Struthio camelus: one gene and its partners. The protein of the gene in region 4 purifies or fractionates together with the protein of the main gene of each other region. This does not show direct contact. Links are inferred from orthologs where the notes say so. Each region holds a gene or a part of one and is shown on either strand. Other genes may lie near its edges. The genes, in order: RFC2, SMARCAL1, HLTF and RPA1.

Region 1 (7,154 bases), about 3.4 Mb from region 4:
CCTCCTTTCTGGAAGTTTTGAAAAAATAATTTAAAAGATTATTTCAGTGACCTTACAGTACTGCCACAAAAGCAGTTATGCTTGTCAAAAGGTAAGGGTAGCAAGCAAACAAGGGCAGGAGCTTTTAAGACTGCTTTGCCACTTTGCCGATACTTTATGTAGCTATGCCCTCAGACTCAGCTGTAATTCAGAACCATTTAAGAGAAATAGCTGGACAAACTGCATTGTATTAGCACAACACGGACACTTTCCTAGACAGAAGCCCACCAAAGAGTTACTTTTAAAAATAAACCATTTTATTTTTGTTCTGTTTAGAACAAGGAATGTCATAATTCTATAGTTCTTCTGTAACTGATATTAACAAAGGCAGTACAATGTATTATGCTCATATACAGCCTTCCATTGTAGTCCTCACAATACTTCAGGACAGGGTCTGCTAAAGGACTTAGGAAAATATTATAATTAGGCTTTAGCACCTGATCCTTGGAAAAGATTCAGTGCCCTCTACATATGTAACACGCTCATCCTACAGTTTAATCAACTACCTTTACAGGTCTAATTTCTATCACTTTTTGTCCTAAGCACTGAAGAGATCCATTCCAAACAACTTATTCGCTTTTCATTCTTAGGAGGGTCTTTATGAATGCAAGAAGCCTAACTCCTTAAAGTAAACTTGAGAAGACAGTACCATTACAGATTCTGCACACCATCTGTTTATATTTTTGTGTTTGAAAATATCTATCAAGTTGGTAAAATATCAGGTGATAATAGCTACATTAATAGGTGTATAGCCAAAGACTGCCTAACTTTTAATTGGAAAAACTGCATTAAAAATAAGTATTAGAGGCATTACTGCAGCATTAAGCCTATCAAGCCTGCCTGAGTTCAACTAAAAATAAAAATGGATGCTTGCTTCTTCATTAAAGCTTTGATTAGATTTATACAGCTCTCATCCTCACCTATCATTTGAGGCATTCAGCTCCAGAACAGCATCCTTTAATGCAGGACCAAGCAGAGCGCGAGCCAAGCAGAGGATACTGGTGGTTTTACCTGTTCCTGGCGGACCCTAGGAATGCAACAATGGCCGTTAAGTTTTATGCCTTTTTCTAATTTTTGCTCTCCGCAATGCCCGCAGTCAGGAAAAACAGCTGCAACGGAGGAACTGCAGAGAGAACATCAGACTAGGAGTTGCCTGAGTTCAGAATCCAGCCTCCAACAGTGGACAGAAATGCTGCAGGGAGAAGTACAAGACATGCTTCACTAGGTACCTAAGGACCAAGTTAATTCTCAGGTTTTCTTTTGCATTCTGCCAAGAATATTGCTCTGTGACCATATAATCAGGGTCTCTTTTACCCATACATTTAGGAGCCATGCAAATCTATATGGGGAGGCTACTGTGGCTCAGTTTCAAAAGCTAGGACCAACATAGTGAAATACAGTACAGCATAGCAATACTTACAGCAATTATAATATTTGGTACATTTCCCTCTTTTGCAAAGACCTAAGATAAAATAATAAAAAAATTATTGATATAAGAAAACTGGGACCAAACAGTTCCCAATTCCACTCCATTTTAACCATGAGAAAAGGAGCTAATAATTTCTTTTCCTCCCTCCTGCTTCCATTTTTTGAACCTCACTGCTTTCATGTTTTTTTAATTGATCTGTTAGAAGTCAATCCCTAGAATAATATGGAAGAAAACTTAAAAGCACTTAATAGCAGAGTTTTTAGCCCTTCCATCTGCTTTAATTACATATTTGCTAGTATGAGCTTTCTGCTTACAAGCACTGCATTCACAAACCAGTTTATCAAGGAGAATATTTTTCTTCCAGAAGGAAAAACCGCTCATTATGTTTCTTTCCATTGCAGTATAAGCTACATTTATTCATTGAAACACTATTATTGTAACAGCTACAAGTTTTCTAACTCATACCAAAACAGGGCCAACGTAAGCAACATCCCACTTGGAGAAGGAGTATTTCTTTAGAACACCGCTCCGCTATGTTCTCAATTGTATGATTTCTACGTTAAGTGAGAAAATTTTTTCCTTTTACTCCAGTATGCACCTCAAAACACAAAAGTGCTTTTTCGGTCTGGGGATCTAGGCGGAATTACATTTTCTGAGCTAACCTACGAAACAGAAAGGAACAGCAACACACCTCCAGCCTGCTCACAGTGTCTTCATTTCCAACTATTTCACACAGCTTCATTGGTCTGTATTTTTCCACCCTGGAAAAGTAAACCCCCAACCCCTTAAGCACACCTAATCGAACTTGTAACAGCGTTTTACGCTGCTCGCGAGAGGAGGGTTACATTAAGATAGCACGGAGCAAAGAGGGCTCGATGTGTTTTACGTAAAGGCCAGGGAGGGTGTCGTTCCCCCCTCGCTCCGCTAAGTGCTTTACTCCACGGCACTAATTCTGCAATCCTCGCTTCGTCCCAGTTAGTAACTTTTGTTATCAGAAAACAGGGAAGGCAGGGTGAAGCCAGGACACGAGCACCCCCCCGTCTGCCCCTTTTCAGCCCCAGGCTGGGCCCAGGGACCGGCCGGGCCCCTCACGGCCCCTTCCTGAGGGGACGCGGCCGCGCCGCGCGCGCCCCCGCCTTCCCGCCAACGGCCCTGCCCCGCCCCTCCGCTCGCGCCAACGGCCGCGCGCCCCTCCGCTCGCCCCATAGGCTACGCCACACCAAGCCCCGCCTCCCGCCGCGCTCTGCTCCAATGGCCGGGCCCCCTCGGCCCGCCCTCTCAGCCCCTCCCCCACCCGCCCGACGGCCGCCCCGCGCTCTCTCCTCAGCAGTCGCCTCCGGCCCTCACCACGGCAGCTCGTAATGGCCGCTGGCGGCGGGGGCGGCGGCGGCCGGGGGCTCGGCGGAGCCCCGCTTCTCGCCTGCCGCAGGCCCGGCCCTCTCGCCCTCCGCGGCCTCCGCCTCCATCCCGGCGGCAGCTGGCCCGGCCCTTGCCTTCCCGCCGTCCCCGCCGCCTCCGTGAGGGCAGGGCCGCGCTGCGCTCCGGGGCCCGCCCTGCGGGGCGGGACGGCGGGGACGATCCACCCCGGAACGGCCTGCTGGGAGCCGGCGCTGGGGCCGCTGCTCTGCGCCCTCCGCTGCTGGCGGCTGGCGGCGGAGCTGGGCTGGGGAGGTGCTGGGGCCGTGCCGGGCCGGGCTTTGCTGAGGAGAGGCAGGCAGCTAGACGTCGGGGCCGCTCACAGCACTGCTGGGTGGGCTTGCGCTCAGTTCTTTGGGAGTCTGGCTGCTCTTCTTCCCTTACTGACCGGTTAAGTGTTAAGTCGCCTAGTAAAAACAGTAATGTGTTTGCAACCCAGAGGTCTAAGCACTTGTTTCCTTTTTTAGCGATCTTTATTTCCCTGTATAAAATGAAAACAATAAAAGATGCATCACAAAGCATCGTAAGTAGTTATGTTACCGTAGCTGGGTGTCGTGGTGGCGCTGTTATCATTAAGAGTTTGGTGGTTTGGTATTTCAGTAGTTACTGGGGCCTTGGTGCATCCTCAGGCTCTGCTATGCTCAGCAGAATCAATGGTACTTCTGTTGGTTTAGTGAGCAGGGGATTTTTCCTTCAGTCTGAGCTATAATCCCTTGGGAAGTATTTCCAAACAGGATGTGAAACAAGAAATTAGTACTGGTCATATTTGAGGTCCTATGTGAGCGATGATGTTTTTCTAAGAGGGCGACTTTGCATCACTTGCCACAACGTTTGCATTTGAATGTAGTTATCTTAAGGCCTGGTGCCTGTTGCTTGGCTTTTGAGGTCGACACCTGGGTGTTTGCAGATGGAAGCATTGCCTTCAGCCTTTGGAAGTAGTTCTGCCTGTGGCCTGACAGTGATCCGGTCTGCTGAGTTTTTGAAAAGATTCCAAAACTCTGGAGGGTTTAGTTTATGTTATGCAAAGTGTAGTTTATGTAGGCAGGATGGCTGCTGGTTTAATTTTGTTGTATTTCTTATTAATAGCTGTATGCAGTCCATAGTGGTTTTGTGATAAGTGTTACATAAGGGTGAAACTGTAAGTGATCTGCAGACTTTAAGTGGCTAAAGTAACTATGGGTTTCAGCCACTGGAGGTAAGAAGAATAAATAAAGACATGATTATGTGGCTTCCTAGGGCAAGGCAGTTGGCTTTTTTCAGTGTTTAGACTGTTCATAGCACTCGTACTGGATGAATACATTGTTCTTCTAATACACCAGACTCACTGTGTTACTCTTGTCTTTGGGTTCAGCTTACTGCAGTATTCAGCAGGCGCCAACATGAGACAATGAAATACTCAGCTGCATTCAGCACTGCTGGTCATAGAAGTCTGTCAGTATAACACAGTGGACATGCTTTGATTTCTTGCCAAATTGTTATGCTCTTAGGAAGTGCCAGCCTCTAGATAAGATATAATTTTCCTGGCCAGCATTAATTCTCCCATTATATGTGCAGTATTGCTGCTGATAAGCACCCAAAGGACTGTGAGAAAGATCATTCATAAGAGTTTTTGCAGAGAGCCTGATGAAAGATTTTGTGATACGTGTCCACTAAGCAGTGGCAATATGCGTTTCTTTGGAGCACAGTCTTCTAAAGCACTATAGTGCTGTGTGCTTCTATGTAGACAGGAGCTCCTCACATTTCCACAGTGATTCTCTAGTGTGTCTAACACAGAACAATTATTTGCTGAGGTCACGAGAATGTTGATAGTGATGCACGGCAGGTGGATAGGCATACCTAGTTTGCTGAGATGTCACAACAACTTGAGCTGAAACTTTTAAAAACTATCTGTTCCAAAACTTGTACTGTTGCTAATGTAGTCTCTTTGTTGAAATCACAGGCTGCATTCGGGATAAAATGAATTCCAAATCAGTGCTGAAGAGGCAGAACTCTTTTGATATACCATCAAAGATGCATGAACGCACATGAATGCGGTAGATGTAGTGTATTATCCTGAAAGGAGAATGACCCTGAATTTAAGACAATTCCTTCTTGCCTGCCCCACCCCAAAACATATATGCAAAAAGTTCATTAAATATTTGTTGTACAGTACAGATGCATGCTTTTCACTAACAATTTAGTAAGCAAGAGGAATGCTTGTCTTGGAAGCATTCAAAGAGAGGATGACCACAGATCCTGTGGTCATCCCAGGAGCAGTGATGACCCAGCTGTAGGTGCTTAATGTAGTAGGGAATGAGTCCTTTCAAAACCATGGAGAGTCTTTATTCTCATATTGGCTCTGGTCAAGAGCTCATGCTCTAGCCCCTACAGAGAAGCTGAAGAAGGCCAGTACAGCAGGTTTTGTCAGGGAGTTGTGCAAAAGCTGTGGCAAAAGGGTTTCAGAAATCCTGTATATCATGTCCTGTGGTAGGAACTGAAGAAGGTTTGTTAGACTTTGAAGAAGGTGAGACTAGCGAAGACACTAAAAGTGAGGCAGAAGTTGAAGATGGTGAAGAGTGACAGTGATGAAATGATGAAGGCGTGTGAATTGTAAAAACCAAAAGGCAATAGAGGTAAAGCCTAAAAGAAGCAGCTGACTTCAGACAAGTTGTTAATGAACATGCAACATACATATTTTTCACTATAGAAAAATAATAAAAGTCTTGTATACAATCTTTCTGGGGGGTAGAAGAAAAATAGTCTTATATTCAAGGTCATTTTGCTTTTGGATTAACACTGCATCCAGTTTACTGTTATTGGTAGGACAAATATGATATTCACTATCCAGCAGGTCTAGAAGGCCAAGGGCTGAGATCTTAAATTACAGTGTTAGAGAAAGTGCAGGGTTCCTTCAGCTGCTCATTCCCCATCCCCACCAGCCCTGCAGTCTAGCTTAAAACTGTCACCTCCTATTGCAGTGCGCTGTTGTTCAGCTGCCACAAGTAGGTCACGTAGTGCAGATGGTCTTGCCGCCAGTGGAGTCTGCAGTCCCCTTTGAGAATATTCCCTGCTCTTGCTCTTTCACACTGTTAGCTCGGAGAGAGTGGGATGAATTCTGATACTACCAACCATTTTATCCTGCGTTCACTGAGACTGAAAGCATAAAGTAAAGCTGGTACAAAGACTAGTAGTGAAAGCAATGATGGGAAGATTAGAAGAGAGGTTGGGCTGGTCTTTATGAAATGTGGCATCACTGTGTTAGTGGCTTTCCTGGGCTTGGCATGTCTGGGCCCAGACTGACAGGGGCCTTGATTCTTGTAGCGCTATGGTGTTTGAGCTCTAAGAGCAAAAACAGTGATGATGCTCTGAGTATACACAGGATATTAACTTGTCCTTGTTCTTGCAGCATCGTAGCACCCCTCAGCTTTTAATACGTTTATCTGTAGAACGTCTCCGAGAGGTACGTTTATGTTGTTTTAACATAAGCTCAGATCAGTGCAAGTTGACTAATGAATAATTTTATCTGTATTGTTTAAAATTTGTTCCTAAATAATATAGCTGAGGTCGCATGTTCAGTCTCCACCAGAACGCTATCTTCTCGATTATTTCCCTAGCCACTGCCTCATCCTTGTTCTCACGTGAGCATCTTCAGTAGCTGCAGAGCAACGGTCGCTTGCCAGAGTAATCTGTGTAAACACAACATGACTCTGTCAGCTCTGTTACCTGAGCACTTTTATTTATGACTTCTAATTGCTTTTTACATTTTCTTTCTTTCTTTCTTGCATGTTTTTCTATGTTGTCACATAAATTTACAAGCAGTAGCAGAGCTGGCTGTATTAGTCTGCAGTTAATAAACTTACACTGCTGGAAGCGAGGCAAGTCATGCTAAAGCCCATTAACCACTGTGAAAAAAGTAGATGCAAAGGTTAATTTCAGGTTATTGCTGTCAGGAAGATCTGATATTTACAGTATTTAAAAATCTTTTCTATAACCATCTAAAAATAATGGATTTAGATCACCACAATTTAAGAAGTGTTATTAACTTTTTATGCATATGATGATGAATAAATGTAACTTGTCCAATGCTTTAGGCTACAAGAACAAGATTCAAGAGCACTGACTTGCAAGCCCTACCCTCCTGGTCTTTGGATGCTTAAGACTAACAACATTATTGACATTTCCATTCTTTGCTTTTTCTAAAGCACATGATAGAAAACTACTTGGACCCAGCTCAAGACCAGATGTGTGGTTACAACTTTAGTCAGTAGAGGGAGTATGGACACCTCTATTA
Region 2 (6,955 bases), on a different chromosome or scaffold from region 4:
TCTCTTGCGCACCAGGAAGAGAAAGGGCCAGAGAACCATGGGTAGTTTTAACCAACAGAAGCTCAAAAGTTGGCTTCACATCAGTACTAAAGCTATAGGATTAACTGTTTATTCTGAGCTTGAAAACTAGGCCAGTAATTTAGGCTCCAGAATAGAACTGGGAGGGCAACTTTTGTTTCTTTAGCCTGGTTTCCTAAGGAAATAAAGCTTATGCAATTAAGTTATCTGTGCGTACATGTGGGCCTCCCCTTTTAACTTTGCCTCCTTCAGCCAGTTCAACCATGTTTCACCAAGATAATGTTTTGTTCTGCATTTGGGGAAACAAACAGTTGTGTAGACCAGAGGGATGTATGATGGCCTGAACTCAAATATATTATAAGACATCGGGGGGTCCAAATTGCTAGTGCCTCCCAGAACTAGATCACACCTCACTTTGTGTTAAATGCTGGCAACACAGAGGCTTTGGAAACCCTGTTTGCATCTTAATGTAGGATATTTTTTTTCTCTTTTAAATCTTTATTCCAGGTGCCAAAGAACTGTCCCACACACCTGAGTTCTATCATATAAAAAAACAAGAGTCAGCTCAGCCTTGCAGCAACCATGTGAGTGTGGTGGAGGCCTGGCAGTGAGGCAGAGGCCATGTGCTGTGCAGACCATTGCTCTGGACTGGAGCTGTGGAGAGGAATCCAGCCAAGAAGGACAGACGGCAGAGAAGAGCCCCTGCAATCTGTTGGAGGGGCTGCACAATAAACAAGAGCAGGAAGGCTTCAACATGCTAGGGGAGAGCAAGCTGTGTAGATAAAGGCGGCTGCTTCAGAAGAGTGGATGGTGACTAATTTTCTTTGCACGGGGTGGCCAAGGAGCAGGGAAAGAGGATTCTTCTTCACTGAGCTGGCTGTCAGAGGGGGGAGCAATCCTCACATGTTAGAAATACCGAGAGAAAAGGCTCCACAGGTCCCCTTTCATTAGGGTTTTAAGGGCAGCTGGGCTCCAAGTTTTAAGGGCTCCAAAGTTCAAATTTTGTCTTTGGTGATACAAAGAAGCTCTGGGAAAGGGTCTGATTCAGAGTGGAGTTGTGGTAGTAGCTGGGCTGTCAAATGGGCCAGTAGGCCATTGTCCTTGATGTGCCGAGGCAGAGAGAAAGTAGAGGGTATTAACAGATGACTAAGAAAAGAAATCCGGGAAGAACTGCTCTGGGAGAATATGGGGTCAGCCACTGTGCCCAGGTCCAACCCTGAACCCCAGCACCTGTGGGAGCTCTGAGCATGGGGTTCTGGCTCTCCATTAGGAAGCTTTGACCCTGCTGAGGACCCCAGACCAGAGAGGAAGGAGCACAGCCCCTCAGCCCACGGATCAGGTGCTGTAGAAAGTATTCAGCTCAGATCCTAGCAGCTCAGATGACAGATTGGTTTTCCCCAATGAGCTGTGCCAGCCCAGGGGCCTTTCCCTGCCTCCTCTGCCCTTAGACCTTCCTTGAAGGACTTGTGTGTGACCTGCACATTCTCACTCTGGTCACTTGACTGGTTTTACCTGGGAAGGAGCTGATAAAGCCTATGGTCTTGGGCTTAATTTCTTTTAAAGGGGGTGACTACAAGTACACCTCGGCTGGTCAAAGGTGAGTGTGTTTGGGAGCTGATAATGGTGTTGCTGAGCTCCATGCGGGCTTCTGAACTCCTCTGAGAAGTCGGAGCACCCGAGGGCTGTTACTGCATGCCAAGCTCTGTGTTTCTGATTGTCTCCCAGATGGCACCAGGCCTGAGGATATGCAGCGGTGAGAACCATGGAGGTGTGTTTGAAAGGGGATGGAGCAAGGTGAGTACATTCAGCACGACAGCAAGTGAGAGAGCCTGAGAGCAGCTCAGAAGATATCCCCAGATGAAGAACTGTGAGATACAGAACAGGTCCAGGATCCGGGGTCACTAATATTTCAGATATTAGCTGCTGTTTGTACAAGATGTATGACAAATGTCCAGGCAGTTTTGGTTTCTTTCAGCAGGAAGCAGTCAGGATCAGCCAGTCCAGTCCATGAGAGGATCACTACATTTTGAGTATGATCCAAATGATGGAAAGATCCTAGTGAGAGCAGTACTGAGAAGCCTGTTTCCTCAAGCTTTTTTGCTAACTGGAGTGGTTCTGAGGAAGCGGAAGAACCATCTCCTCCCCAGCAGAGCTGGGGTCTGCTAACCCACTCATCCTCTCAGGATTTTCTTACTGCATCTCTGTTCCCTGACCTAGTATGTGGAAGGTGAATCCAAGCCATTGCTGGAAGCATGTTCTGATTGAAAGGACACCTGGAGTGCTACCAGCAAACTGCTTGCAAACGGCCTCTCATTTTGTAGGTCTGTTCTCTGCATGGTTGGGCTGTTCCTTGTGCCTTGCTGAAGTTGTGCCATATGGAGCAAATGCTTCAACGTCTGTCTGTGTGTCTGCCTGACCGTGCAACCCAAGAGCTCTTATCTCTGCAAATGATGCTTTAATTTCATTGTCCTCATGAGCTGGGGACAGTCCCTGAGAGGGGCTTTTCTCTACTTCTCCCAAGTCTATTCTTTTCCAGCTCTCCCAAAACATAAGGAGTCATCACGAGAGCCCTGGAACTGAACAGCCGCTGGAGAGAGAGAAAGTGGCTGAAATACTTGCAGGGTTATGCTCTGTGCTTCCTCCCTCTCTTGCCTGTATGTAACTCCGGGCTCTGGTTTAGCTTTGAGCAGCGCAAAGTGTGACAAGAAAGAAAAAAAAAAACTGATCTCTCATCCCTTCCTTCCTCTCTCTGCCACTTAATCAGCTTGAGGCCACTGGCTCAAAAGGGAAGAAAAGGGCAATCACTGATGATCTGAAATGAGACCACAGGACTGAACATCCTTTCTTACCATGCTCCGGCTCTGCAGGGGGGAGCCCTGGCTTCTGGAAGAATGGTCAACTTTTACTCTTTTGCTGTCTTCCTAAGAGAAACTAAGACAAAACTCTTGGTCCAGATCTCTCCTCAGCACTGTGGCTTTCTTTAAAAGTTGCATGTTTGCGAGTGTCTGCGTGTATGTGCCATGCTCACGTTTGTGTGTTTGTGATTCCTGGGTGAATAACTGCACTCCCGGGGTTGTGCTATTTGTCAAGTCGCACCTCATCCTCGCTGCCTGCCTTGTTTTTCTCAGGCTGACGCGCTCCTGACTAATGGCAGTCACTGCTTCTTAATCAGAAAGCAATTTAAGGATAACCTTTTTTAATTAACAGTGGAGAGAAGACTGAATAAATAAACTGTGAAGCAGCCAGCTGGCTGCTTTGTCCCTAGCTGAGGGGTCTGTCAGGTGGGGGAAAAAGGTATTTGGGGACAGCGACGGCAGGGGCTGAAGTAGAAGGTGGGAAGGGGCTAGGCTGCTACCCAGAGACGATCACTCCAGCTACTCTGCTCTGGTCGCTCACAGGGGAATCATGACTTGAACTGTCCAGGAGGGACAGCTTGCTCTACGTATTTAAACCCTGAAAAGTCCTTTTATTCCGAATTTTAAAATGGAGGCAAATAATTACCTCATTGTGAATTTATTGCCACTCTTTTTCCATGTATTAACTCTGTTTTTAATTTCATGCACTTACTAACACCTCTAAGAGTGACGCCCTTCCTCCCAGGCCAACCAAACCCGGGGCACCAGGACACCGTTGTACGTGTGGTTTTGGGAGCGTGGCCCAAAAGGATTGAGGCTGTGGGGCACCGGGGTAGGGCAAAGGCACGGTCCATCACGGGTAGAAGGGCTCCTGCGCCCTGCATGTTCGTACGAGAGAAACCGGGGCGAGAGGAGGGTGCTGCGGCGCCCGGCTCCACAGCTCGAGCCCCTGGGCCGCGCTGCCCTTCGCGCCCATAAGATGGCGCCGGGAGGAGAAGACTACATTTCCCAGCATGCCGAGCGGCCCACAAACCATCCCAGTTCGCGGCGTGCCACCTGCGGTGGGAGTACTTTATTCTCTAGAGCGGGGCCTGCTGGGAGTTGTAGTCCGCGCGGCTGCGCGCCCTTTGGCGGGGATACCCGGCCTCTGCCATCCGGTGGGTGCGCGGGCGTTTGGGGCGGGGGGCGCTGGGACGTGGCTGCGACTCAGGCGCGCTGCAGGGGAGCTTCGGGGCGATGTGGGACATTGCGGCCTGTAGGGCGGGCGCCGGGCCCCTGAGAGGTGAGGGCGGCCCGGGCCCCTGTTAGGGGTGGGCTCCGGGCCCCTGTGGGGTGAGGGGGCCCAGGCCCCTGTTAGGGGTGGGCGCCGGGCCCCTGTGGGGTGAGGGCGGCCCGGGCCCCTGTTAGGGGTGGGCGCCGGGCCCCTGAGAGGTGAGGGCGGCCAGGGCCCCTGTTAGGGGTGGGCGCCGGGCCCCTGAGAGGTGAGGGCGGCCCGGGCCCCTGTTAGGGGTGGGCACCGGGCCCCTGTGGGGTGAGGGGGCCCAGGCCCCTGTTAGGGGTGGGCGCCGGGCCCCTGTGGGGTGAGGGGGCCCAGGCCCCTGTTAGGGGTGGGCGCCGGGCCCCTGTGGGGTGAGGGAGGCCCGGGCCCCTGTTAGGGGTGGGCGCCGGGCCCCTGAGAGGTGAGGGCGGCCCGGGCCCCTGTTAGGGGTGGGCGCCGGGCCCCTGTGGGGTGGGGGGGCCCGGGCCCCTGAGAGGTGAGGGCGGCCCGGGCCCCTGTTAGGGGTGGGCGCCGGGCCCCTGTGGGGTGAGGGGGGCCCGGACCCCTGTTAGGGGTGGGCGCCGGGCCCCTGTGGGGTGAGGGAGGCCCGGGCCCCTCTTAGGGGTGGGCGCCGGGCCCCTGTGGGGTGGGGGGAGCCTAGGCTGGAGAGTGGGCGCTGGGACAAGGGAGCCTGGTGTTTGGGAGAGGAGTGGGGCAGGGAGTGAGCCCCACAGTGCAGGGAGAGGAGGGCAGCCCCCAGGATAGGATGCTAGGAGTAGGTGAAGCGAGGCCAGTTCCTGGGAAATGCGGTGGGAGCTGGGTCCTTGTTCCCATCAGAAGGTCCTTGAACTGGAGTGGACCTTCCTCAAGGCAGGAGCTGACCCTGCCCTTTGCAGCAAAGTATTTCTGCTCTATGCTGTGAACGGCCTGAGGACTGGAGGACGCTCAGGAAAGATGGGGTGTGGTCCCTTCTTTTTTGTTAGGTACCAAAAATGTGAAACACTTCCCATACAAAACTGTGCAGATTAACTGCTTTGCATGCATTTGCCTTTGTGGGGCAGCCTCTGTGCTGCAGGGTGTCCCTGTGTTTGGCCTTTTTATCTGAACTGCCAACAGCTGGGATTGGGGAGGAATGGTGCCCCAAGCTGGCACTGGAGTGGTATGAGCAGGTTCTCCTTTTTCCATATGCTCTATCTATGTGGAACTGCCCTGCAAAGCCTAGCAGCGGTTGTCAGCATCTGCATGCTGACAATGGCTTAGCATTGACCTGACAGCTTTGCTGTTTTTGTGTAGGATCAGTTACAGTAGTACCTGATCACTAAGAATACCTACAGAGTTGAAACTTCCTGTCTGCTATATTTTTATAGGCTGGCCTCCAATCCTGTAAAGAAGCAACTGCCCTGAGATTAACTCCCGATGTGGTTTTGATTCAGGATTATTATTTGAATTGCTGAAGATGTCATCAGGCCTTACAGAGGAGCAAAAGAGAAGAATCGAAGAGAACCGCCAGAAGGCCTTGGCTAGGAGAGCAGAGAGACTAGCAGCCCAGAGAGGTGGGCAGGTGGGGAGCACTGAACCTCAGCTGAAAGAGCGCAGTTTACGCAATCAGGGAAACTTGAAGCAAGAAAACGATCATGTCAGGTTCATTAGCCAGCACCAACAGAATCCGAACAGTCCTAAGGAGCAGAAGAGCTATCTTCATAAAGATTATAATCATTGCACTGCAAACCAACAGATGGCTGGCTCACATGGAGAGCAACAAAAGAATTGTTCGGAGGACTCAGAACAAGCAAGTGGCATTAAGCAATTCCCTGCAACGATTCCAAATTCTCTGAGTTATTCCCATCAACATAACTCAGGTGCTGATGGCCAGAAACACAATCAACAAGCTTTAATTAATCTTGGTACATTCCAGCAGTCCAAGTACTACCCAGCTTACAAAAACCCTACAGAACTATCTCATCCCAGATTAATAGATAACTGGCACCCTGGTGATATTAAAGATTTACAAAGTCAGAGCAAATCTGCCACTAAATATGTTTCACCACCAAGCAGCACCACCCCAGGTGATTCAGAAATGCTGATAAACACAGGCAGATCAACAGAAAAAGAGGGAGGAGGTGGTGCCTCTCAGGCCAGTGGTAAGGTGCAAAAGCTGACCAGCTCTGCTGGTGCAGGCTCTACCTTTGAAGCTGTCTCTCACAAGAAAGCATGCAGTGTTACAAAAGGAAAGTGTGTGAAATATGGAGAAGATCGATTCCAGGTTGAAATAGGGTATAATGCCGAACTCATTGCTGTGTTTAAGAAGGTACCAAGCAAAAGCTACGGTAAGATTTGCTTGTTTGCTCATATCTCTGTTTTACATTGGAACAAAATTTCAGCATCTCTTGGAACTGTAGTTGATATATGCTCTTAGCAATGCATCTGCTGTTAGGGTGGAATATGGAATATTAATGGGGGATTGGAAGTAAAGGCAGTTGAAATTTGGAAAGAAATTCAGGGACTGAATAGCTTGAACTTGGATTTAGCCAAGAAATCAGAAGTCCTGACTTATGAACCATGCTGTGAGATGATTAGTGGTGCCAGCTGGTCAGGGTCTTTTGGGAATGATGGAAGAGAAGTTATTCATAAACTGATGTGGGAAAATGGGTCAGTCTGAATTCAGCTATCACTCAGAGTTGATGGGCTGATTCTGTTAACTGGGTTACTGACAGGACTAAAGCCTGCACCTTTTCTGGTTGCTTCTGTTCTTTTCTTCTGGCTGTTATTTGCATATTTATTATTGTTAGTATTTTTTTTTCTCCTCTGTTGCTGCTTTCTGTGA
Region 3 (7,838 bases), on a different chromosome or scaffold from region 4:
GTTCAAAAAGTTTTATGAATGACAACGCTATGACAAGGATCAAGCCCTTAAACATTTCTTCCAACCAGGGGGCAGTTCAACTTCAACATTTAAAAAAGCAAGCATAAAACGTTCAACGTACCTTTCAGAGGAGGAGCCAATTTAAAACCATGCATTTTTAGCTGATCTAGCACAGCTTCCTTGTTCTCTTCTCTTCCCCAAAAACTCATTTGTACAGGCATGGTGAAGACATTTTTTGCTCCATAAGGGACAACCCTGTTAAAAACCAGAAAAAACCCATGCTCCATTAATCTTTAAATTGTTTATAATCTTCTACAATGAATTGTTATTTTTTTCAGTACAAGGTATTCCAAAGTGCTTATTTTCAGCAAAAGATACAGTTTTCCAGACAAGCTTACGCAGCGTGTCCTAAGGCCCGTGTTACAAAATCTATCGCATCTAGTTTGTTCCACAACAACCTTTCTTTCGGGAATTTGCTCCCGCTAGGATCTCTGAAGTTTATCATATATAGAGAAGAATGAACTGTAAAGGAAGTAGTTCAAGAGAGTAGTAAAGACCCTGAAAGCGTGAAGCTTGAATCATGTTACTCTGAGTGGTCATTTCTGCCAAAAGAGAATAATTGTAATAGTTTTCACAACATGCTAGGGCGGCAGCAAAATGCTTCCATTACTTTATATTCATGGAACTAAAAGCGTAATTTGCCCACTTACCCTTCAACTACTGCTAGTTTGTTGTCCATAATGCCTGCCAATGCTGCTGCTAGTTCTTTTTTAATATGGCCTACTTGGTCTCCATTCACATTATTTACTTTCACCGCATTTTTATCATAAGGATTATTGGGCTCCCTCTGCAGCGCAACCATTTCATTGTTATTAACCTAACAAAAACCCAAAACACATTCATTAAGGTGCAAATTATTTGCAGAAATATTTAACATACATGTATTTAAATGTCCTGAAGTTAAAGTTAATCTGGCATAGCATTCTGCTCGGTCTCTGTAATAACTTACTATTTACTCAAAATACCAAAAGCAAATACAAAACAACAACCTGACAGAAGTACTCCTGAGAGCAAGAACTACATCTGACTACCAACACAGCAGATGAGTGTTAGCCTCGTGAAACCTGTTCGGTAAAGGAAGAAGCATCCCTTTTTGTCAGCCCGAACAGTCCAAAGGCCTATGTAATTTCTTGCTTTCAGTCACTTACATGCGAGTCAGGTGGATGACCAGATTTACCAAATGGCTAAAGCAGATTTGAAAGATAGCTACCTTAATTGCCTTTTGAAAAACAGACTAAAGTTTAGATTATGCATTCCCTGTAAAGAATTTTGAATACAGCAAGTGGGAAAAGAAAAAATTATCTACGAGCACTACACTTAGCCAAAAATTCTGGGGAATTTTGAAATTTAACTAAATAGGACTGTTTTGAAGCTGGCAACAACTCTTCGTTCTGTTTTATTATTTATCATGCACTTACAACCCCTTTGTAGTATCGTAATCCAACAATAGTTCCCCGCAAAGTTCCATATAAGATAGCTGAATCGATATCCTCATCTGTTCCAGAAGCGTCACCTATAGAGAAGTCTTCTAACCCAAGACTGGAATAAAATTCAGAAGAGGAATAATCAGAATAGTTTCTCTCTCCTTTGTAGGTGTTACGTGGAGAGCATCCCCACGCAGGACTTCTGCAGAAAGACACAACGTGAATTATTTGGCAATAGATTAATTAATAATAATAATAATAGAATGATTATTTCCTTGTAATCACTTATTTTCACCCCTTTACATGATGGCTACCTATAAACGTAAGTCTAGCAATTTTATTCAGATAACATTTACCTGAAAACATTCAAACAAGTCTTCTGTTAGAGTAACATTTTTTCTACCTTTTTTTTTTTTTTAATCTCCAGTAACTTTGCTTAATCAAATTACAATAAAGAGGAACTGACAACATAACGGACTACACTAAAGCATTTGTGCATTTTACCATCTATTCCTGCGTTCTCTCACAGGAGTATCTTAGTCAGCTACATTAAGAATTACAATTATTCTTCCAGCCTTAGTTATGTCCCTAATTGCACTTGGTACAGTAGCGTTTCCGAGTATTTTCCAAACACCAATTTATCTGACCTAAGAGAAAGGTTAAAAAAGTGTCGATAACCAATTACCCCTGCATGACTTCATGCCTACAGAGCCACAAGAGACAGCATAAAAGAACTAAGAGAAATACTTATCTTATGAGTCGCAAGGCTAAACAGCAGTTCCCTACATTTGCATTATGCTTTACGTCACCCTTTGATGTCTATTATCAGCACTTTACATAGCTTTAGAAGAAAACTGCTACTCCAACTTGGCACAAGCAATGACGCTGTATATCTGTAGTATAAGTCTCCACTAGCCAGCTTCTCTCTCCGATGAGGAGAAACACCTAATAACTGCTGCTCTTGCACAGCAACTGACAGACGGAAACGTCTGCAGTCAAGTCAGATGCATAGTCAAGCGAGGGCAAACGTACTAACCGTTGCCTAATGGGCAACATGTGACAATAACACCTCGATACACGTGTAAATGAACCTGTAACAGTTATTCATGACCTTTTGTACCTCGGATTCCATTAAGAATACTGTCAACGAAAGCGATTAGTTTCAATACGAGTTATCTGGAGCTTGGCACCGCTACACTTCGGCTTCTTTCGCATGCAACCTCTAAAGCTGCTACCGCACAGTCAACGCTACGCTTCCTCTGAGAGCAAACACAGTCGCAGAGGTTCGCTTAGAGCAGGCCGCGAGGAGCCAGCGAGGGGTCGCCGGCAGCCCGCCCGCCGCTGGCCGCACGGAGAGCGCCGCAGGCCCGCACGGCGCCCGCCACCGCCACGGCGGAGCGGCCCCGCACTGCGCGCCGCGCCGCGCCCCGCCCGGCCCGGCCGCCCCCTGCCCGCCCCCGCCTCACTTGCGCGGCCTCCACGACATGGCGGCGGCCTCGACACCGCTCCGGCCGGCCCTGCGCCCCCCGCGCCTCAGAACCGACTGACAACAGCAACCGCCAACAGCGCCGCAGCAGGCACAGGCGCCGACCAATGGAGACACGGCTGCCACGGCGGGGGCGGGGCCAGCGGGGCAGGGCGGGCCCGCCCCTCCCCTCCCCTCCCCCACCCCACTCCCCCGCACGTTTTTAGCTGTGTGAGGGCAGTCGGTCCCCGCTCTGACAGACCGGTACGGACGTTGCCGCAGTTACGGGCAGTTTTAAGAGGGAGTTAATTCCCTCTTTTAGAAGCTGATTTTAATTTCAGTCTACAGAGATCTTTCAAAAAAAAAAAAAAAAAAAAGAGTGCTGTTTCCTAGGCAAGATCCTGTTCTTGAAATTACTGACAAATTCTCACAGATGCAGTGATATAAGACGGAATTTTGTCTACGCGCCTGTTTTTAGCCAGTGCAAATTTTCAAGTCACAATCATGCTACAATTGTATACAGTTTAACAACATATCAAAAACTCTAATTTTAGCCTAATTTAACTACTACTTTGGCTATTATTTCTGGTAAAAGTTAAGAAGAGAAAATTCAGTGTTCTCCTTATTTTGCAGTAAAAATATCTGCAGAGATTCAATGATTACCCTTGTAAATGTAGTAAAATTACTATTTTTTTTTTTTTGCAATTTTAGACTTAACAGTTTTTACTGCTAGCGTGCGGAGTACCTTGTTTTGCCTGTTAACTAAAAAAGTCAGTGTAGACATTAATAAGTAATGTAAACAATGCTAACAGTGTTAACATTTTATCACTGTAAGATGGAATGTATTTTAAAGACTAAATTAATGTTGTACTCCGTCATCCTACTGCAGTGGAGAATAAATGGGAATAGCAATTTTCTTATCCTTATTGTAAAGAAAATACTGCCCTGCAAAGGAATAAATAACGAGTATTGGATTTTAAGGGCCATCAATTACTCATTAGTATTTCCTATATGGTAAGGAAGCTTGATGAACAAATAACATGCATTGCTTAACTCCACAATGCTCCCAGATCAACTTGCATTTTATAACCGAACAAGAAAAAGATGTATAACCCTCTATTGCAAACCAGCAACCTTCAAAAATGTTTGCTTTAATAATTGCATTTGTAGCTTCCTCTTTACTAAAAGTACTAGTTTATAATATTTTTATACTGTTTTTCTGTTTGTCAACTCTCTAAATTTCTAAAATTTATTGGTGAATTATAGTTATTCTTTATATCTCTCCGGCAATTAAGGCATACTCTATTTGTGAAAAATTATCTGCTTCTCCAATTGAGACACTCTGAATTTCAATAATACTGAAGAGATGTGAGAGGGAGGAGAGGTCTCAAGCAGCGTCCTGTCTAAAGTTATGTTAAAATATGCTAGATACATCGATAGAAAGTTAAGACTGATAAACTCACCATGAGCATTGTCACCAGCTAGGAAGTCACTGGAAATGACGAAACCCCAGGAATCATGGTGTGCTAAAAATTACATCAGGGTAACTTTTGCCCTATCTGATTTTAATCACTATCCTATCTTGTTCCCAAGCCAAAGTCCCAGTCCAAAGTATTTAAGGAGAGTAAACAACAGCTTTCATTATTGTCTCCAAGTGACTGTACGATAGTTGACACCTTTACAGGGAACATTTACAGATAAGATAGTAAGAAAAATGAAAATGTGTAAAAAGAAGTTTTAAAATAAACGTGAAAGGACTTGCAAGAGGAAATGGATGTTGGGAGAGGGGTGAGAGGGAGAAAAAGGAAAAAAAAAGAAAGAAAAAAGGTCTTAACCAAAACACCTGAAGACCTCAACGGGTTTAAAGACCTGATAGCTATACTTCTTTTTAAATAAAGACATATAACTTTATGCTAATAGAAAAATTATCAGTTTTACTACTCCAATGTATTTCAGAACTTAAAAAAAAAAACAACAGATGCAAATGTACACTAAAAGCACCTGATATCAAATGCAAGTTGCATAAGAATGAATAAATGGGAATGCAGAAGCTAACAGCACGATCACTTTCAGAAACAGTATCTATTGCCTATGTGTATTGCTATTGCATTAAAACAATTTTGTCTAAACAAGGCTAAAGGTATTGCCTCTTCAAAGCTTGTTTCTGGTCCTGCACACACCTAGGGTCCAGCCAGCAGCACGTTTCAAGTATTCTCTGTCATTCATAGGGTAAACCACCCTTATTTGCAGTTACATCCGCAACTGCTTCAGAAAAGCTATTCACAGAAAGACATACAAGATACTTGATTGCTTTCAAATAATCCAACGCAATTTTATAGTAATAATTACTTTTAACACATTCAAAGCAAAACAGAACATAGCAAAACCTCAATTTTGGCAATTCATTCATAAAGAGAAAACTCCAAAGATAAAAGGACAAACCGTTCACAAACAAAATGGCATCCCCCCACCCCGCCTTGGTTTTGTTTGTTTTTGGAAGTAATTACAAGATTACATTTAGCTTTAACGCTCAAGAGTGGGTTCAAGACCTCTCAGCAAGGCCGGCAACATATCATTTTGCCTGTATTCCTTTCAGAGAAAGGGAAGGGATGGACCAGGGACAAAGAGCAACGGGCGACAAGCCTAGGCACCTCGGGCCAGCTGCTCCGAAGAAAAGATGTTTCAAAGAAAAGGTGCAAATACTGCTGCCGCTGAGTAGTGTCACCTCCCTCAGAAAAGGCCACTGCCAAAAACCCGACCCTTCCCAGCCTGGTTTTCCAGGCTTTGTGCCACCGCAGGTAGGACTTGGCCTAAGAAGCCGCCCACCCCGCCTGCAGTTGGGACTCGCCCTTCCAACATCATACTTACCTAAAACAACTCGTACACCGACTTTTTGACCAACCTTAGTATTTCAAAATGAAGTTGCAAGTCATAATAAAAAGCAAGGGCTGTGGTGGGTTCACGTCATTAATTAATTGGACATGTAAGGTGTCTGACGCCTTTAAAAATGAGGAGAACTAACAAGTTTTAAATGCCAAAGTGAGCATGTTTTCAAATGCACTGAGTGTTTCTGGAACTACGGCTTTTAGCATTTAGTAATGACGAGCTTATAAACAAGCTCATCTTCTTGGGCAAGTAAAGACTTAACACTATCTACCCATATGCTTACACACATATTTTTAATGTACCAAATTTAACTTTTCATTAACTAGAATAGTATGCGGTAGCTGTCATTTAAAAATCTGAACTAACGCTAACATGCTATATCTAGTTTATTTGTTGCAGGTTTACCTTACCAAAAGACGAAGGTTTTTTTCTTCAACTTTCATTCACTTCGTCATATATAGAGATCATCATAACCTGGCCTGAGTACTCCTATTGTACCAGACTGTTAATGAGGAACACGCAGGTTAAAAATCAGTGGCTGAAGAAGACTATTTAAACTGTTAACGCCTTCCTGTCTAATCTTCACTAAAAATGCATTAAAATAAATACAGATTTCTAGCGATGTTTTGTCCATGAGATTTCTCTTCGACTCCTAAGTAGAAGCAGCAGCACACGAAAATAATCTTCTCTGCTCCTACGGAAGGAACCACGAGGCGTTCACGGCGTTTTTCAGGGTGCACCTGACCCTCTACTGCAGCCTCCGCGCAGCAGCAGCTCCACGAGGAGGGCGCACGCCGAGCCCGGGCGGAGCAGCAGCAAGTTCCGGCCCTCACCACAACGGCCTGTGGCGAGGCACCTACTCCAGAAAGCAGCTGCGCTCCTGCCCGGACGTCCCGTCCCGTCCCCACGGCTCCGGGGTCTCCAGGCCCTCAGGCCGCCCCGCCGCCGGAGCCCCCCAGCAGAGGGCAGAGCGGCCCCGCCCCGCCCCGAGGCCAGGCGAGGGGCGTCGACCCGGCCGCCTCGGAGCGCGCGGGGCCCCGCCTGCCCGCGCCCTCCCGCCCAGGGCCGCTCCAGCACCCGCCGCGCAGCGCCACAGCCACGCGCCTGCACCACCCCACGTGGGGAGAAGACCGCGCTCCGCTAATCAGAGGCCTCCGTTCTCCTCCGGACAGCCCGGGGAACAGCCAATGGGGAGCCAGGGCGCGCGGACGTGAGGCGAGAGGCGGGTAGCCGTTGGCAGTTGGTGCCGCTCGGCGGAGGGAAGCGGACGTCGCCTGGCGTAGCCGAAGCTCCTCGCCTTAGCAAGGCAACATGGTGGGGAAGGGGATCCTCGCGGCTGGGGAGAGAAGGGGAATTTGGGATCGCATCTGTTGCGGCAGGTCCGGGGAGTTTAGGGTTGCGTGTGCTGGAAGAGGACTTGCAGGGTGCACCCGCGTGGAGCCTCCGCGGCAGCAGTAAGGCGGAAGGATTGGGAGGAGGAGAGAAACCGCTGTAAGAGCTAATAGTTCAGTCGAGGTTAGGCGTGGAAACTAACGGGCACCTAGCGGGACGAGAGCGCGTACAAAAGCAACGAAGGGCAGTTACCGATGTGTGCCGGCTGCACGGAGCGGTGGCGGGAGGCGAGGGACGGACTAAGGCTTGACCCAAGTGGCAGATGGACGACAAGAAACGGGATGGCGGCCGCTAACGAGCGCGTTGCACCGTCGGTTGGTTGCGCTGCCTTTCAAATCTTGCGAGCGCAGCCAATCAGAGGAGAGGAGTCTGAGCCGCAGCCAATAACGTGGCGCCGGGTGGTAGCAGTGTTGAAGGGGCGGGATTGGTAGTTGAGCTTTGGCGCCTCTTGCTCGCGCTCTGAGAGTCGCGTGGTAGTAGGCAGTAGGAAACTGTAAACGGCAAGGTGGCAAGAAAGCTACGGAGCCTTGGGGCAGGCCAGATGGATGTGGAAACGACTGCGGTTAGCTTCGCTGTCGAAAGACTGACAAAACCACGATGGTGAGAATTAA
Region 4 (7,594 bases):
CAATTTCATGGACAACAGTGCCATCTCATGGCTGGGACCAGGTCTCCCAATGTGTCCTCATTAGCTGCCCACCTTAAAGCAGAAAACTAAGTCTTACCACCCTTGTTGTCGCTTAGCAGTTTTAATGCTTTCTTGATTCGTTGCTGAAGGTCCCATAGCCGCTGTGACAGGCTCTCTCTGCTGACTGAGAGTGCACAAGCTCCATTTGAACAACAAAGTATGTCTTCTCCCTGTGGAAGTCATCCACGCCATCATTCCTGCTCAAGTTCAACTCAAAGCTTATTTTCCATCTCCACGTCTGTATCGTGTCACAGAGCTGCTACATAGTTCCTCAGCTACATTTGTTAAATAAAGGGAGTAGCTCATAAAGTGCTATTAGATTGTTCAGATTTTAGGAGAAACGGGAACAGCTATGAAAACACGTGCTAGTCTGAGCCCACTTAAGATTAAGCTGAAAAAGGGTCATGAGGTACACAACAAACTGTTCATATAAAACACACACTTTTGTTCTCTTTCTTCAAAAAAATGACTTTCCTCATTTAACTCATGGCTAGATGCTGGTTTTGTTTACATCCTGTGAACTGCAGATAATGCAGCTCCCACTACGTATGGCCTCCTGTAGGTACATCCTGTTTTCTAGACTCTGGGTCTCCGTTTCTGTTTCTTAAACACCCCCACTACCCCAATCCATGGCCCTGATACTCAGGGTTTCTTTCAGCAAGTTCAAAGGAATTTTAACTCCTTGTTAAAGGCAGTATTTTCCCTGTAACAGTGGAAGATTGACATACAAGAACATTCCAAGGAAGCTGCTAGAGAGCAATGAGACACTGCCTTGCTCCTGCAGGGTCTTTTGCCTTCAGAGCAGAGGTCACAGACTCAGATCTTTAACTGTGACTTTCCCAGAGACCCAAACGTTACTCACCCTGATATGGTTATATAGTTATAATTATGGAATAATTACCTGCATTGAAGCCCGGCAGCTAGGGCAGCAGAATGAGTTTCTCATGGACACCACACTCTTGACATCAGACTCTATCTCTTCAAGGCACGCCTGACAGCGACACTCGAAGAAATACTGCCTAAGAAGCTGTTGTCTCTCAGCAACCCTCATTCTACATCGATGAGGCCCTGCAAAGGGAGGACAAGGACAGAAAGCGCTAAACAGGTACAGTCCCTAACAAAAGCCTGAAATCTATCCTCGTTTTGACTCAGACTAAATATACCATCTTTTGAAGAGGATGAAACTGGAGACTGTGAAAGCAGAACAGTGGGCATCTGGAGATAAGGACTTGTTCTGATACCTTTGATCAAGACTTACACGTATGCATAAGCTCTAGCAACATTACACTTCAAATTACTATCCTATTAGCAATCAGTCTGCATGCCAAGTAGAAGTGAAAGGATGCCTGGATCTTGAGATAAATACAGAGTTAAAACTCACCATAGCAATGAAAAATCTCTTGGCCTCTTGGGATTGCCTGCGATGCCCTGACAGTGGCAGCTGTCCCACTAAATGATATGCTGATATTGGGACTGCATGAATGGTTCAGAAGGCTGAGGACAGGAAAGAAGGCAGTCGCCAGGCGCACAGGCTTCTTATTTACAACAGCACCATCTCCGGACCCTAAAAACAGAGGGAAAAACAAATATGTTGGGAAGGAAGTCTTAGTGACCCACCAAACTTAATGCAATGGGCACTGGATCCAATCACAGACATCAGTAGGAAAGTTCCTGGCATATTGCTGTAATGAAAAGTAGCTGAATACCATCTAAACGTACACCAAAGATAAGGACAGGCAGGCAGGAGCAAGCCATCAAATTTTACAAAAAACAAGTAGTCATTCCCATCTGCAATGGGAGCTTTTTACAACTGCTAGTTCAGTTTCTCCACTTCACACAAACTAGATGAGCAAGGTTAAGAGGAAAGGGCTTAAAGTGTTTATCTTACCCAACTCTTGCATTACAGTGATCGCTTGCGCGTTACATTGCAGCTGCAACACATGCCTCAGCATTGCTTCTGCCATAATCTTCAACTCTGGAGACAGTTCATCAGACCCATTTTCACATTCTTTTGGCTTGGACCACTCCTCAGACGATTCCCGATTCAAGACAGCAGCCTCTAGACCAGCTTCTTGTAGTTTTTTGCATATAGCTACTATGCTCAGCACGCAAAGGAACTTATGTTCAGGGCTATGCTTCTCAGTATGTGGCAAGAGGTTGAACACAGCTTGGTAAGAACTCTGGTACTGACCGTTGTCATTACAGCCAGGAATCAGAGGCTCTGCCTTCCCAGGGATACCACCTCTGGTATTTGGTACCTCATTGATATGTTTACATCTTGCCTCAGGGCTATGAAGGTCCTTGTCATCATCGTGGGACTGCTCCACCAGCCTACTAACCTCTGCAAATCCTGCCAGCAGAACAGTCCTTAAGGCAACGTGGCAGAAGACCCCTAATGTGAGAAGCAGCGCTCCCAAGGAGCATTCTGTCCTGTGGTACTGTTCCCAGGCCAGATCTGCACAGTTTTGGCTGCAGTACTTTGCATAACTGCATCCACTGCAGGGCACAGAGGCTAAGAGCTGCTTCAGACAACGGTGACAATAAAGATCTGCATTAGTGACCCGAGTGTCCCACACTGTTTCACTACTGTCAGGCAACAGAAGACTCTCCCCTGGGCAGAGAACACTCACAAAGGCCTTCTCTTTCAGCAGATTCTGTCCTGGCAAAATGTCCTGAGAGGCCACCAAATGACGTCCTCTCTCTATATCAAAATTCAAGCTCAAAGATGAAGATGCACCTGAAATGCTGTCATTCTCTTCCCAGATCTCTGACTCTCTTTGAATGGCACCGTGTGCTTCTGGCGCAGGCTCTGGACAGCTCTCTTTCTCATGTACTTTAATCTTCAGTTGACTTATCTTTTTTAGCAGTGCCTGGTGTGTAGCACTAGTCATAGTCTGATCCACAGCAACTTTATTCTCCGCTGCATTGAGGGCCTCTGCTGCATCCTGTAACCTCCCCAAACACAGCAGACATTCAGCTTTCCGCACCAAGACCTTGGGCAGCAGCCTATCTGGATAGCCATGACCTTGAGCCCTCGCAATATCTTCCAAACAAGCCTAGAAACAAAGATGAGGCCTTTTAAACGTACCTGAAAAGCAGTTGAGACTTGTGCTCTTTATCACATCAAAGATTCAACACATTTTACTCAAGATAATACCGATCAGCAGATTCCCTCTCCATAGCCAATCTGTTGGCCAAATAAAGATTCACAATGCAGACCGAAGAGAGAGAAAGCAGGAATTCTTCAGAAACAGTTCCATAACGACGGAAGTTTTAGGCACGCTTCAAAAACACATCTGATGTATACTCTGTTGTGCTAATATCCAAACAGCCTTTATTGGGGGGTTCCTAGAAGCACTCACCTCAAGCCCGACGTGCAAACGTGACATAGTAACGCTCCTAGGCGCCGCTTGGGATCTCCTTTGGCCTATGTCCCCCCTCCAGCTAGGCAGAAGGCCCCAGGTCACACGCTGGGAGCACAGACTTGCTCCAGGCACCCAGGAGCACCTCTGCTCGCCCGCCGCCGCTTACCTCAAAGCGTCCGAGGTGGAAGAGGGCCGCGGAGCGGTTGGCGAAGCACAGGGATACCTCGGGGCTGCCGGGACGCTCGTGCGACGCTGCCTGCGGAGACCAGGCAGACGCTGCCTCACCGGGGCCGGCAGGGCGCCCGCACCGGGGACCCCCTCGCCGGAGGCCCCGTGCCAGGGGCTGACTTGAGGCCTCCCTTACCGGGACCCCCCTCAACCAGGGCCGGCTGTGATCCCCCCTTACCGGGGGGGGGGGGGGAGATGGGATGGACAACCCTAGTCCCCCCCTCACCAGGATCCCCTCAACCAGGGGGCCCCCCACAACGAAGCCCCTCCTTGGGGGCCTCACAGAGCAAAGACCCGCCCCCCCCCCGCACTGAGGGCCCCCTCAAAGTCCCCCTCCCCCACCGAGGCCCCCCTCAGCCGGGACGACCCGGCCCCCCCCCCCCCCCACCGGCGAGGTCCGGCCCCGGAGCCTCCCGCCGGCCGCCTACCTGCGAGTAGAGGCGGGCGGCGGCGACGTACTGGCGGCGCCCGAAGCGCCGGTTGCCCTCCTCCCGGTAGCAGCGCGCGGCCGCCGGCTCCTTGCCCGCGCGCGCCCGCCGGCACAGCCGCCGCAGGGCCGCCGCCGCCTCCTCCTCCTCCTCCTCCTCCGCCTCGGGCCTGCGGGACACGGCGGTCAGCGCCTCGCCTCGCCTCGCCTCGCCTCGCCGCCCCCCGCCGCCCCCGCCGCTCACCCGAGCAGGCCGCAGCCCAGCCGCACCGCGTCGCGCAGCGGCGCCGCCGCCAGCCGCTCCCGCAGCGCCGGCTGCAGCGCGGCCCAGCGCCGGGCGGCGAACGCCCGCCACTCCTCAGCCGGCAGCGCCATCAGCTCGCTCCGATGGCGGCGCCCAGCGGCACCGGAGCGGCCGCACGCTGCGAGCGCTTCCGCCGTACGGCGCCGCCCAGCCAATAGGGGCGCTCCGGCTGCCGCTGCGCGGAGGAGGGGAGGAGCCCGCGCGCCGCGGTGACGGAAGGAGAGCGCGCCGGAAGGAGCGGGGCCAGGCTCGGGGCGGCGGGAGGATTTGGTGGCGGCGGCGGAGCGCGGCGCAAGGCGCAGCACCATGAGCGCGCGACTGAGCGAGGGCGCCATCGCGGTGAGGCGTCGCTGCGCGGCCAGCTCGGGGTGGGGGGGACATTGGGCTAGGTCTGGTCGGAGGGGAGCCAGGCCTAGAGCCGGACTCGGCCCTGAGGCGGCGGCGGTGGGGGGCGGAGGCCGGGCCTGGTGCCCCGCGCCGGGCCGGTCCTGAGGGGAGGGCCCTGGCCGGGCTCAGCGGTGCTGGCCTTGCGCGTTACTTTTGCTGTTTCCCAGCGGTTCCCCCTCTGCTGTGGGTCTCCTGAGCGAAGAGGTGGCATCTCTCTGAGGGTCTCTTTTTTTCCTCCTCTCTAGGCCATAATGCAGGGGGAGAACATCTCCAAGCCCGTGCTGCAAGTCATAGTGAGTACTCTTCCTTACTTCGTCCTGTCAGTAGTGACTGCCTGCGCTTCCTTGTAGGGTTGTGAGCAGGGCCAGACTGCAGCTGAAGTTGCTCAGCATAGGAGCCTTAACGTGATTGAGTAAAGTAGGTTTTGTGTGATTTGAGCTGTGCTGTTGGGAATCAGTGCTCAAGAAGAAAGCTAAATAGACTGAGTCATTCACTAAAGATGTGACTTTGCTTCTGAAGCGTTTCTGAATGAACCAGTGAGGACTAACAGTCTGGTGTTTCCCTTCAGAACACGCGGGCTATTGCGACAGGAAATGGGCCACCGCGTTACCGAGTGCTGATGAGTGATGGTGTTAACACGCTCTCCTGTAAGTATGACAAGCCGTAGTGAGATTTTTACAAGTGTGGAGATGCTAATGTTGCCATAGTTTCTGGTCTAACATCTAGGTTTGTAGTGATGAAATGAGTATTGAAGGAGCAAGTGACACGTAGGGACCGTTTGTATTCTGAATTGTGCCACTGCATTTCAATACTCAGACAAAATCCTTTTTTTCTGGAATTTTTTTGTGAACTGTAGGCAATTAACTCACTGCAGGGTATCATGAGGACAAATCTATAGCGGATGTTTTCATAACAGTGTCTTTGAAGTAGTTTAGCTTAATCATTTTCTTATTTCTTTAATGCATTCTAACTATCATTGCCTGATCGAATCTCCTAAGTTGAGGGATCAAATCCTTATTTTACGTTCAGACTGCTGGTGAATTGTTGGCTGTTACGCTGTTTCCTGTGCTGTAATTAACAGGGCAAGCTGTAGATCTAAATTAACGCCAGTCGACTGACTGGAAAAGTTGTGGCCAACCATGGTAGCCTCTCTTAAGGCCAGCATATGGTAGTTGTTTCAATATTTTTCTTCTACTTTTTGCAGCGTTCATGTTAGCAACACAGCTGAATTCTCTTGTGGAAGAGGAGCGCTTAGCAGCTCACTGTATCTGCCAGATTAACAGATTCATTGTCAACAGCCTGAAAGATGGAAGGTATTCATGTTGTTTTAGATACAGTAATGCTAGTGGGTGCTCTATCCTGTGTGACTAAGCAGAGGCCAAGTGCTTTTAGTTGGGATTATCTGTAAATAATTGGTCTTGAGTGTACAGGAAGGAAAATACAGAAGACAAGCAATAGCAGAAGTAAAAATTACTGAATGTAATGGCAGTGGGTGCGGATGTATCTAATACAGTAGTTTAAGTAATTGAAGGCAACCAGTTGCAATACACAGAATTGTACTGAGGTTATTTTAATAAACCTAAAATAAAATTTACTTAAAATCACCTCTTGTAGAAAAGAAATGATGAAGTTTTCCTGTTACTTAAAGTCGTTGATCTTTCTTTTATGAAGCTTTGAGAGAAGAGAAAGGTAGGATGCTGTAAACTAACAAGTGATTTAGGTAAAGTGACAATCTAAAAACTGTGCAAGTGTGTTAGAGAATGGGAACTGATGTGCTGCATCTTTTTTACTCAATGTTTCTGTAGAGGCAATATAACGTTCCCTTGAGTCAGGGGATGTATCCTCTCTCGTAAGATCTGACTCTGTTCTTTCAAGCCATTTCTGTATGCCCATTCAGCCTGTCATCTTCTGTCTCTGATGAAACGTAATATTGTTTTAAGCCTACCTGTACCTTGTGAGTGGGTTAAGCTGACAGTGGAGAGCTCTTCTTTCCAGATCTCTTGTCCAAAAATCTGCCCCTACTGGTTGTTTCTCTTATCTGCATGCAAAGGATGTTCAAAGTCTGTTGGACTTACAGAGGGAGTGAAAATCTTTATCGCTGTCTGCTCTGTGTTTGTAGGAGAGTAGTTATTCTGATGGATTTAGATGTTCTGAAAACTGCTGATATGGTTGGTGGGAATATTGGCAATCCGGTGCCATACAATGAAGGTAAGTAACTACTGTAGAAAAATACCTTGTCTGAAGAGACTGTTAGGATGGTCTTTCAGCTGCCTGTTTCGTTGTATTTAACAACGTGCAGGCAGATGCGTTCCGCTTCCTTATGCCTGCAACAGTGATGTCCAGATCTTGAACGTCCTTTTTATCTGTGTAACGCAAAATAAACTTTGTTTGTATTCTTGTAAATTCTTCACCGTGGCTGAAGTTTCAGTATGTGGTATTGGGAAGTATCTATAGTTTGTGATAACATTGAGAGCTTTTTATCATACATTAGTGGTCTGCATCTAGACTTCCAGTAAGTGTGCAGAAGCTGTTCTGTATCTTTTCATAATGAGTAACCCAAGAGACTAAGATTTTTGGTCTGGAAAGAAAACAACAGGAGGAGGATGTAATAACGATCTATGAAACTGTAAGATAGCATTGGAGGGGATGAGTAAAGAATGATGACTCTCTCCCTCTCTTCTGTGTTCATTTGATGCTCTTTAGTTCTTACATTATCAGACTGTGGTTTTAAAACAAAGGCTGTACCACACCCCCAAACACTGCATAGTTAAATTATGGAACTCGATGCTACATGATGTGGGTGCCAAAAATTGGCACAGATTC

The links.
Region 1: the proteins of RPA1 (region 4) and RFC2 purify together in Homo sapiens (affinity purification with mass spectrometry, with the first as the bait; 3 studies listed by BioGRID). This does not show direct contact. The link is inferred for Struthio camelus from reciprocal best matches to the Homo sapiens genes RPA1 and RFC2.
Region 2: the proteins of RPA1 (region 4) and SMARCAL1 purify together in Homo sapiens (affinity purification with mass spectrometry; 8 studies listed by BioGRID and IntAct, with this or other methods). This does not show direct contact. The link is inferred for Struthio camelus from reciprocal best matches to the Homo sapiens genes RPA1 and SMARCAL1.
Region 3: the proteins of RPA1 (region 4) and HLTF purify together in Homo sapiens (affinity purification with mass spectrometry, with the first as the bait; 4 studies listed by BioGRID). This does not show direct contact. The link is inferred for Struthio camelus from reciprocal best matches to the Homo sapiens genes RPA1 and HLTF.

What each region holds. Positions count from the first base shown.
Region 1 is NC_090957.1:12,759,970-12,767,123, reverse strand, and holds the start of RFC2 (replication factor C subunit 2), read right to left. Parts: upstream 3,003-7,154; 5' UTR 2,935-3,002; coding exon 2,816-2,934; intron 2,230-2,815; coding exon 2,160-2,229; intron 1,502-2,159; coding exon 1,460-1,501; intron 1,067-1,459; coding exon 960-1,066; intron 1-959.
Region 2 is NC_090947.1:29,554,773-29,561,727, reverse strand, and holds the start of SMARCAL1 (SWI/SNF-related matrix-associated actin-dependent regulator of chromatin subfamily A-like protein 1), read left to right. Parts: upstream 1-3,943; 5' UTR 3,944-4,030; intron 4,031-4,038; exon of another isoform or gene 4,039-4,155; intron 4,156-4,202; exon of another isoform or gene 4,203-4,304; intron 4,305-4,968; exon of another isoform or gene 4,969-5,114; intron 5,115-5,498; 5' UTR 5,499-5,587; coding exon 5,588-6,458; intron 6,459-6,955. UniProt on the Homo sapiens protein: ATP-dependent annealing helicase that binds selectively to fork DNA relative to ssDNA or dsDNA and catalyzes the rewinding of the stably unwound DNA. Rewinds single-stranded DNA bubbles that are stably bound by replication protein A (RPA).
Region 3 is NC_090950.1:34,268,337-34,276,174, reverse strand, and holds the start of HLTF (helicase-like transcription factor), read right to left. Parts: upstream 3,019-7,838; 5' UTR 2,971-3,018; coding exon 2,951-2,970; intron 2,744-2,950; exon of another isoform or gene 2,605-2,743; intron 1,687-2,604; coding exon 1,479-1,686; intron 878-1,478; coding exon 711-877; intron 256-710; coding exon 122-255; intron 1-121. Other genes in the region: tubulin alpha-3 chain, read left to right, coding at 7,147-7,149. UniProt on the Homo sapiens protein: Has both helicase and E3 ubiquitin ligase activities. Possesses intrinsic ATP-dependent nucleosome-remodeling activity; This activity may be required for transcriptional activation or repression of specific target promoters.
Region 4 is NC_090957.1:16,142,402-16,149,995, forward strand, and holds the start of RPA1 (replication protein A 70 kDa DNA-binding subunit), read left to right. Parts: upstream 1-4,583; 5' UTR 4,584-4,690; coding exon 4,691-4,723; intron 4,724-5,016; coding exon 5,017-5,064; intron 5,065-5,339; coding exon 5,340-5,418; intron 5,419-5,975; coding exon 5,976-6,084; intron 6,085-6,890; coding exon 6,891-6,979; intron 6,980-7,594. Other genes in the region: SMYD4 (SET and MYND domain-containing protein 4), read right to left, coding at 98-230, 962-1,128, 1,442-1,624, 1,949-3,116, 3,592-3,681, 4,082-4,283, 4,325-4,455. UniProt on the Homo sapiens protein: As part of the heterotrimeric replication protein A complex (RPA/RP-A), binds and stabilizes single-stranded DNA intermediates that form during DNA replication or upon DNA stress.